Neodiprion lecontei: one gene and its partner. The protein of the gene in region 1 purifies or fractionates together with the protein of each later gene. This does not show direct contact. Links are inferred from orthologs where the notes say so. Each region holds a gene or a part of one and is shown on either strand. Other genes may lie near its edges. The genes, in order: ras-related protein Rab-28-like; retinal rod rhodopsin-sensitive cGMP 3',5'-cyclic phosphodiesterase subunit delta.

What was found.
Region 2: the proteins of ras-related protein Rab-28-like (region 1) and retinal rod rhodopsin-sensitive cGMP 3',5'-cyclic phosphodiesterase subunit delta purify together in Homo sapiens (affinity purification with mass spectrometry; 3 studies listed by BioGRID and IntAct, with this or other methods). This does not show direct contact. The link is inferred for Neodiprion lecontei from reciprocal best matches to the Homo sapiens genes RAB28 and PDE6D.

What each region holds. Positions count from the first base shown.
Region 1 is NC_060260.1:25,740,895-25,746,612, forward strand, and holds ras-related protein Rab-28-like, read left to right. Parts: upstream 1-1,948; 5' UTR 1,949-2,076; coding exon 2,077-2,151; intron 2,152-2,821; coding exon 2,822-3,007; intron 3,008-3,317; coding exon 3,318-3,551; intron 3,552-4,459; coding exon 4,460-4,696; 3' UTR 4,697-5,167; downstream 5,168-5,718. Other genes in the region: F-box/LRR-repeat protein 7, read left to right, coding at 1-10, 167-536, 610-813, 1,204-1,339; hexosaminidase D, read right to left, coding at 5,648-5,718.
Region 2 is NC_060263.1:14,623,644-14,627,462, reverse strand, and holds retinal rod rhodopsin-sensitive cGMP 3',5'-cyclic phosphodiesterase subunit delta, read left to right. Parts: upstream 1-2,183; 5' UTR 2,184-2,306; coding exon 2,307-2,347; intron 2,348-2,557; coding exon 2,558-2,620; intron 2,621-2,693; coding exon 2,694-2,951; intron 2,952-3,051; coding exon 3,052-3,133; 3' UTR 3,134-3,309; downstream 3,310-3,819. Other genes in the region: RING finger protein 207-like, read right to left, coding at 1-662, 791-939, 1,570-1,742. UniProt on the Homo sapiens protein: Promotes the release of prenylated target proteins from cellular membranes. Modulates the activity of prenylated or palmitoylated Ras family members by regulating their subcellular location.

The DNA of each region.
Region 1 (5,718 bases):
CAAGGAACCAGTAAGACCATCGTTGAACTATCACCCGCGTGTATTTGTGTTTCACCTGAAACTAGATTACATTCGAGTATTACTGACAATTATACGTATTTACTAATAGCAATTCTCGACAATGCTGATCACAATCTGATTGAAAATAAACATGCCTATGTTGCAGACTTGCAAAGTGAGTACGTGATGCAGGTGGAGTGGGAAAAGTCCAGCGTCCAAGAATTGGACATAACAGCAACAGATTTGAGTACCGAGTGCCTGATCGATATGCTGACGCGGATTCCTGGATTACGATTTCTCAGCGCTGGGCAATTGAACGGCTTCAATGACAGCGTACTTAAATCCTGGGCCGAGGTTGGAAATCCGAGAAATTTGATAGCCTTGGACCTAGACAGTTCGGATAACCTGACCGACGATGGTTTGCACAAATTCTTGTCAAGACACGGTCACCAGCTTTGGGGTGTAGCATTGTCGGGAATGCCTCATATCACGGACCAACTGTGGCAGAGCATTTTGCCAATTCTGACAAACACGAAGTGAATAGTTGATCGATTACACGAGAATCGTAAAGTCTAACATTAGCCAAAACAATGAAAACTTGTTTTACAGGATTGTTGTTATGGGCACCCAGGAGCGGTTGGGGGTTAATATTCACGTGGATCAGCTCATGGACGGCATTGCCAATAACTGTCCCAACCTTGAACGACTCGAATTACGGTGGGATCCAGAAAATCTTCGATTCTCTGACAAGAGTCAAAAGGCTATCGACATTTTGCGGGTGAAATGTATTAAGCTTAGATGTTTGGTATTGAGGTACGATCATATTCCATTGGCGAGCATTCAAAGAATTCTCCTCTACTAATAAGAAACTTTCCAAACGAAATCCTAACAAAGCTTCCAATATTTCATCAATACTTTTATCATACATACAATAATATATATGTATTCAAGTTGAGCATTTCTGGAAATGAGAAACACGCCTGATTGACGAAAGAAATATGAAAACATATACTATATCAATTCATAAAGTGAACTATTTTTAGAATCCAATGCTATAGTTTGTATCTAGAGTTGGGAGAAAGACTTTTCAATTATAAACTTGTTATTAAAGCGATCCAAAACAGTCAATGAGCGATGTAAGGGTACCATTGCCATCTAGACATGTAAACAATACATTCAAATCAATTTTCTCTTTATTTCCAGCGACGGAAGGTATTACGAAATCGTTAAAGCCAACTTCGAACGTGCCGATAGAACAACGGTAGTTAGGACGACTACGTGTTCCAGAGTTACGAACTATTATTTATTGCATAACTACAAAGATTTAATATTTAATTAGAAAAATTAATGATAATTCAATTTTCAAGTGTGAATTACTCGACTTGAGACACAGTGCTGTGCCTTTCGTGTCCGTAAAATTCAAGTGCCAAGATGAACGAATTTACACGTACATAAAAAATACATTGTATCTATTAACAAACAGATGTTAACATCTGCGCATGGATACGCAACTACGAAGATAAGCGTATATAATATATTATTTTTGAATAAAGAAATACTCAAAGAAACAAAATCTTGAAATATCTGAATTGATCCACTCAGTGATCGTTCCTGCACACTGCAGCACCGTTCCAATATACAAGTTCTTTCCTTGTTGTTTCATGATTCCAGTGATTGTAGTACAGTGACTAAAATTGGGTCTAGATCGTGCAATTTTGTTTCTTTATACGCGTCAAGCTACCGCGTAAGCTAATGCATACAGAGTTGGCATGGAAAAGCACAATTTGACGATGCGATGGTGCGAGAGGCCTTCCGAAGGCGCTTGCGCGAGGCGACTTTACGTCTAGAGCCAGTAATGGCTTTTGCAGAGCGAGCTGAGGCCAGATCGACGGCGATAATGGTCGAATATCGATTGTTGTTTAATTTATTCATGTTGGCTGACAGGGCTTTTATTTGAACCGCTCCAAGGCGACGGTCGGTCGATTGGCACCGAGCCTTGCTTCAGGCTGGTGGTCAGTACAAAACTGACTCGAGTGTCACCCTGACGTTATTATTAGCGTGATTGTTATTTAAGAAATGTCTGACTCGGAGGAAGAACTCTTTGAAAAACGATTGAAATTCGTTCTCGTAGGGGATACCGGAGCTGGAAAAGTGAGTGTGGTTTTTCGAAACAGGTGGCATGCTTGTAATGCACCGTAGAGGACAATTCGCGTTTCGTTCAGCCAACGGATTGTCAAGGTTCTTTGAGCAGACTGGGAAGAAAGCATCTGTTGCGCTAGACGTTGTCAATTAGGGACGGGGTTGAAATTCCGAATTTGAAAAGTTTCGAAAGCGCTAACTGGCGAATTGTTAATAATTCGGACATTTTACTCCGCCCCGTCAATTACAACGACAACTCATTGGCAATCACTAAAGCCGACTAATTCAGAGTGCAAGTCCTGTGAATTCATACTTCATACATTAAATACTAAAATCATTCCTTGTATAATTTGGACACTGGTTGTAAAAAACTTTTGTTCGGTGGACAATGAAATATTTACCGTATATAATACAAAGGCACAACTAATCTCCAAGTCAAGGATCCTACGAATATTTCATCTAGAATATCTAGAAGTATTAAATTACGCTGATTTCTAAGACACTGCTTGTATCTACATTGTGAAAAATTTAGGCATATTTTTGGTTTGAATTTTCCAACTATATAACGTAAATATCTAATCACACTTTTGAATGCGTGATATGCGGGTTGAAACAGTCAAATAAATTTATAATCTTTGTTGAAACACACAACCCGCGCTAATGAAAAGATTTTTTTTCTTAGACCAGTATAGCGACGCGATACTGCAATGGCGAATTTACTAGACACTATACGCCGACAGCCGGTGTTGACTTCTTTTTAAAGAACATCAGTCTAGGAGACTACAAAAGTATCACCCTTCACATTTGGGACGTTGGCGGTTTATCGTTACATGGAAATATGCTGGACAAGTACATTTTTGGCGCACACGTAAGTCGGAATACACGTACGTAAGTTATTGAGATAGAATTTTTGAATTGAGGAGTTTAACGAACTTGACCCACTTAATTACGAAATTGCATGCTGCAAGAGGACCCTTACAGTATATATCATATAGTTCTCGGCAATTTCATACCTATTCATGTATCTAAACTATCTCTGATACGAAATTTTGGTGTTACTCTTGAACAAGCACATCATGGAGTTACAAATGGAATCATAAAAGTACAGAGGGAGAAGTAGGAAATTCCCTAAAATGATTACGTACACTCTTTTTGAATACCTATATTACGTTTCTTAGGTAATTCTGTTTGTCTATGACGTGACAAACGCTTCGAGTTTCGAAATTCTTGGAGAATGGATTGAAACGGTAAAAAAAGTGAACGAGGTACTCGAAGCACAACCAGTTTTGGCAATAATAGGAAATAAGTGTGATATGGAACATCAGAGGAGTGTTAAAAGAGACAAGTCCCACATGTTCGCAGCTGAAAGCGGGATACCGTGTCACGACGTTTCAGCTAGAACCGGCGAATCGGTAATCCTTCACATTCAAATTTCGCCGGTACATTGAGCGATGTGCTCTTGCGAGAACCAAAACATCAGTCAACTTTCTCAAATCAGGATAACATGTACAGGATCGCATTGTAATTATTTCAGGCCGTTGTAAGATTTTCAGTTAACTGTTAGTCCGCTTTCAATGATTACTCTGAATAATCATAAAATCAGGAATCGAATCAGGAAATTATAATTGCTGAAAAATTTCTTACCTGAATATCTTTCATTGATAGACTGAGGTCTTCTTTGGAAAGGTAATGCTGCAACTGTATTTTCTCTATGTCTGTCAAAATCAATTCCCATTGGTACCTTTAATGTAGCCAATGATAATTATACAGTAGTTGAAACAAATTATCACTGTTTTTAACAGCAATCACCAAGCGCAGGAAACACTACAGATTCTGTTGCACGGAAGCTCGGCGTCTGTGATAACAGATGCGTGTAGTTGACAAAAAATTGACAGGAGTTTTAAACTAGTTAATAATTGAGTTAAAATATCAAGGATACTACGTATCTACGTATAGGTTTGCTGGATTCACCTAATCACGCGTAAACTTGATTGCTGCGAATGAACAGTAAAATTTATTTTATTAGAGATTAGAGAGAATTTTCTAAAGGCATACTTCGTTCAAAAAATTATTTACCTTACATACTTTTCAGTTGCGCTGAACGGATGGCATTTCACTTATCAATGCAGTATATAAAACTGATCACCATTTCCGTAGACCATATAAACTTTTTTCTACCTAAAGAAAAAAAACCACTGGTGGACTTATTTTCAGTTAAACAAATATCGGTTACCACGACAATCCTGTATTTTCAGACTGTGTATGTAAGTAATTTAAAGCCTTCTGTACTCTGTTATCCAATTTTATTTTATATTTTCAGATAACAATGCGCGTCGCAAGTTTGGCTGCCGAAGTATTAGGTATTTGCGTCACAAAAGCTGATCGAGGATTTTACAAACCTATAGTGCAGTCCGTAATCGATGATACGTTGACCTCAAAACAAGTACCGTCGACGGCTTTAAAAAAATGCGCAAAGAAGCACGCGAAAAAAATTCATAAGACTGAGTCTAATTCTGAGCTTCCACCTTCGAAATCGAGTATTTGTTCGTTGCAGTAGTTGAATTACGTACACAGAAGGAAAGGAGTTTATTTGAATGCATAGTATCGAATGTTAATCACATAAGTTACGATATTAATAATAACAAAAACGATGTAATGTAGCAACGGGTGCCTTAAAGTGACAGTTGATTTTGAAGAAATCGAAGTCAAGAATTTCGAAAGGGTCCAACGCAACAATTCGCGAAGACGCTTTATCGAATAAGTTGAAAAGATATTTATATCGATATTATATTAGTTACAATATTTACATTATCATACATTATAATGATAACATGGAACAGATACTTAAAAATTATATTTCTCAGTCTAATTCTCAAGTCATGGTTGCTTAACATTGGCTATGCTTTTGCATAACATGGAACGACGACCTACCAGCCTACGGAAACAAAAAAAAAAAACCATTGTGAAACGACTTATAGAACTGACAATGAGATTTCTTAAGCAAAATTTACCATAAATCATTCAGTAATACTCTAAAAATTACATGACAAAGTCATATACCATGACGCAAAAATAAATGATGAATTTTTTACCCTACTGAACGATCTTCTCCTTATTATTATACTTGCTAGATACGTGCACAGGAATTATAAATAACCAAATACGTAACTATAGAATAAATATGACCGTAAATGAGTTCAAATCTACACCGCAGAACATGATGTCTCATACATTTTTTCAGGATAACATGTTTAAATACTATGTGTACTGTGAGTTTAATAGATATATATTTCAATTATATTTGAAGGATCTTGATTCGTCAAGTACAAATGAGCTTCTACACGTCTCTATGCCTTATCGTTAACTTGATCAGACTATGTAGTATACTAATAGGATGATAACAAGGACAATAAGTAATGTTCTTTAACAATTATCGGCATATTTTTGTCGATAATTTGTAACAAACAAACTGAAGTATAATCAATCCAATGTTATTGATGAATTCGGTTTAAAGCTCATGCTTCGTTAATGGCCTTCTCGGCCAACTATCACGTTCTAATATTCTATTCTTAAGCGCCA
Region 2 (3,819 bases), on another chromosome or scaffold:
CTTCAAATGCCCAGCCAGTAGAGGGGGGCGAGTAGGATGGCCAAGCTGAGCGACTCGTCCAAGTCTTTCGAGCATCGAGTGAGCGAGTTCAAGAAATTGATACTTGGTAGCACTGCTGGTGAATGACGTGCAGAGCATGAGGTGTGTTTGAAGAACAGGAAGAGCACCACCCAAGGAAAGCAGCTGGGCCCTGACGGATCGCTCTTTTGTCTCAAACTGTCTCTGAATCTCGGAGAGAACAGACGAGTGGGTCTTCGCTACAGCCTCCTGCATCCCCTGGCAGTAAGAGTTCAAGGATCTTTTTTCAGTCTCCAAGCTGTGTCGTAGTTCATCCAATTGAGACTTCAAAGCTCTGAGTCCATCGCGTACGCCAGCCTGCAATTCGCAAATAGAGTTTGCTGCACGTTCCATTTTCTTTGAAGCCTGCTGCCACGCTCCGTCAATGTCGACGCAGTGGAGCCTCGCATCGGCCGGTGTGTCCCGGAAACATGTTGCGCATAACATGCACTTGGCGCTTTGACTATACATTATGTACTGCTCTCCATGCGTGGCACATTTCCTCTGAGTATCTTTGGCACATTTACTCATGTGGACGACATCATGGCTCGAAAACATCTTTGCTCGATGTGTGTGTTCCCTGCAGTGGTTGCACAACGCTTGACCTATTTGGTAAATTTATTTCATTAGAATATACATTTACCAGAAGCATTACTTTTTACTAATAACGCATTAAATTGCCAATAGACCAGTAGATTGAAATTATTTGTTACTAGAAATCGGTCATACAAACCGCAAGTTGTACAAAAGAACATTGTAGTTTTATCGCGTTTATCGCAATTGGCGCATGGTGGATTTTCTGAGTTTGCCAGCTCAACCAGCTGACGCATCAGGTAGTCTGGTGGAGGAAGCTGTGCCCCTTCTTTCAGCTGGGTTACTTGCCTGTAATAATTATGCAGAAAAACGGTATCAGGTTCGAATAAACAACAAAAAAATCCATGTTTATACTTCTCGCCATTCAGTTGTTTACATGCATAATCATATAAAAATTCGTCCACAAAATATTGAAAAATTGACTATGATGAATTTATCTAATTGTACTGTTGTATTCTGTGATAAAATAATGGGATATTCATAAATGTTTCTATTAGAAACAAATAATGATAATAGGAATAATAATAATAATAATAATAATATTGCCATTGTGCATAAGTTAATTGCTACAACGTTGGGGTAAGAATATTGACGTTTTGAAAACAATAAAGAGAGGTGAAAGGTCATCAATCGCCATGTAGATCTGTAAGGGTAAAGAGAAATGTGAGGTTCCGTTTTAAAGGAGTAGACAATTAACATCGAAAGCATCACGTAAATTTGGAATCCGGCAATTGTTCATAAAAATCTTCAAAGAGTTTGGCAGATGGAAATGGGGAGTATAGATTGGTAAGCTCGTAGCCATGTTGACGTAGGTATGTAGAACGCGTATGAGTGGGAGCGGTTGTAATTGATACAATATAAATCAATGCGTATACATATACATAGGTATAATACGTTAGATCTAATAGAAATGTGTACCCGCAAATGGGGCATGAGACTTTGCCGTCGGGATGTGGCCCCCTCAGACATTGGGCGCAGAAGCTGTGAAAGCATGACAGCAGACAGGGCTCGTTGTAATAATTGTGACAGACGCCGCAGACCAACGGCCCATCGGCGTCTCCATCGGCGGCAAGGCTCCCCGTGTTTGCCATCCCGTCTCGAATCCCCGAATTCCCGTCCTCTCGCCTCCCTCTCCAATTTCTTACTCACTTTAGGTAGAGATTTTTAATCTTAACATTGTATTAAAACAATCCAAGCGCGCGCTCGACGTCGACATCGTAAAATCTGTACGTCTCCCGGCAATTACCACCCGTGTTTCAAGTTTCCGACGAATTCGTAATCACTGCGGTATTTCTTGACTGACAAGCACGGATATTTACGGCCAATTTATCAGGGTCGACATAGCGGCGGCATCTCTCCAACCCTCAGCCCTGCTTTTTGGCTGCAAGAGCGCGCGCCCCACGCTAGGCAACCTAAATTACGCGCGCGCGCGCAACTTGCATACTCGCATAGAGATAATTGCATACTACCATGCAGACCATGCATACTACAGATTCGACGAGGAAAGTTTCCGATTATAGGCGACCATTTCCGAGGTTTCACGAGTCCTGCGAGATATGGACGGTCGATAGTTCTTCATCGAGCTGTCATTATTTTGTTTTCGTAGTGAATTGCAGTTTAATTCTGTGAAAAGAAGAGCCTGGGCATCTGCAAAAATGCCGTTACGAGCTGAAGAAATTCTCAAGGGATTTCAAGTGTATCCTTTCAATGTAGTTTTTCGATCCGTATGGAATAATCGTGCGTAGCTTGAGGTAGGTTATGTTGCCCGTAATTGATCAGTTTTGTTTGCTCGTGTCGTTCACTCACAGTAGAATCTTGAAACCGTACTAAGTATCTAGATGAATATCAGAGAATATCTGTCATATTGTATTGATTAGTCCTTGACTGCTAATTGCTGTCGAAACAGTAATTGGATGAATTTGCGTGATGCTGACAGTGGAAAAATACTTTGGCAAGGGAACGAGGACCTGTGAGTAAAGATTTCACCTGGTTCTCCAAAGAATTGAGAACCTATCTTTAAGTACTACATTTCTTCATATCAGGTCTGTACCAGAAGTTGAACACGAAGCCCGAGTTCCTAAAAAAATCTTGCGATGCCGGGCGGTATCTCGAGAGATCAATTTCAGTTCCGCCGAACCAATGGAGCGCTTTAGATTGGAGCAAAAGGTTTTGTTCAAAGGACGCTGTCTTGAAGAATGGTTCTTTGAATTCGGTTTCGTCATTCCTAGCAGCACAAACACTTGGCAGACTCTGATCGAAGCAGCCCCAGAGAGCCAAATGATGCCAGCTAACATTTTAAAGTATAACTCCTTTGCTCTTAATTCTGATCTGAAAATTTGACTTAAAAAAAAATGTTTCAAGTTTTTGACTACTTTCTGTTGCTGTGTTTTCTTGTTTTAGTGGGAATTTAGTTATTGAAACAAAGTTCTTTGACGACGATCTCTTGTTGTCTACTAGCCGTGTTCGCCTGTTCTACATCTAGGAGAATGAGCATTCAAATCGACTTTGAGAATTTGAACCACCCTGGGACCAAGGAATACAGAAAGAAGCTCAAAAACAGCGAACGTAGAGCTACTTAATAGAAAAACCTAGTAGCAGTCAGCATTAAATGTTCATCACGGTAGCAATCCTTGATAATACAAGAAGAATTAACATTGATCTCATGACTTTCTCTAAACGGAGCTTTCACCCAACCCAAAAATTTTGTTGATACGAGCAACAAAAACAATGATGATAATAATGAGAAAATCATAATCATGACATTGACACCATAAGATTTTTTATCCAATTAAACTTCTTTCACAAAAACGCCACTGGAATGAAACTTTAAAATATTACAAACAATAGCGTATTATTGGCTGTAATAAAATTCAAACATGCTTCTATATTTATTGATTTACAACTTATCATATTTAATTATTAATTAATTGTATATAAACGTATGTACTTCTAAGTCTTTACTATCAGCAGCACCAGCTATGAGTTATCCAAGCACAAAGCATTTTTTAAAATAACCAATAATACTGGAAACTCTGTTGGCATATTTTTGTAAATACATTGTGATACACTGCACTTAGTAATAAACGGTATTATAACAATAACATACAACAGTTTATTGCAAAGTAAACAAATATTTACCCCACAGTCAAAGAATTTTTCTGTGAGTAC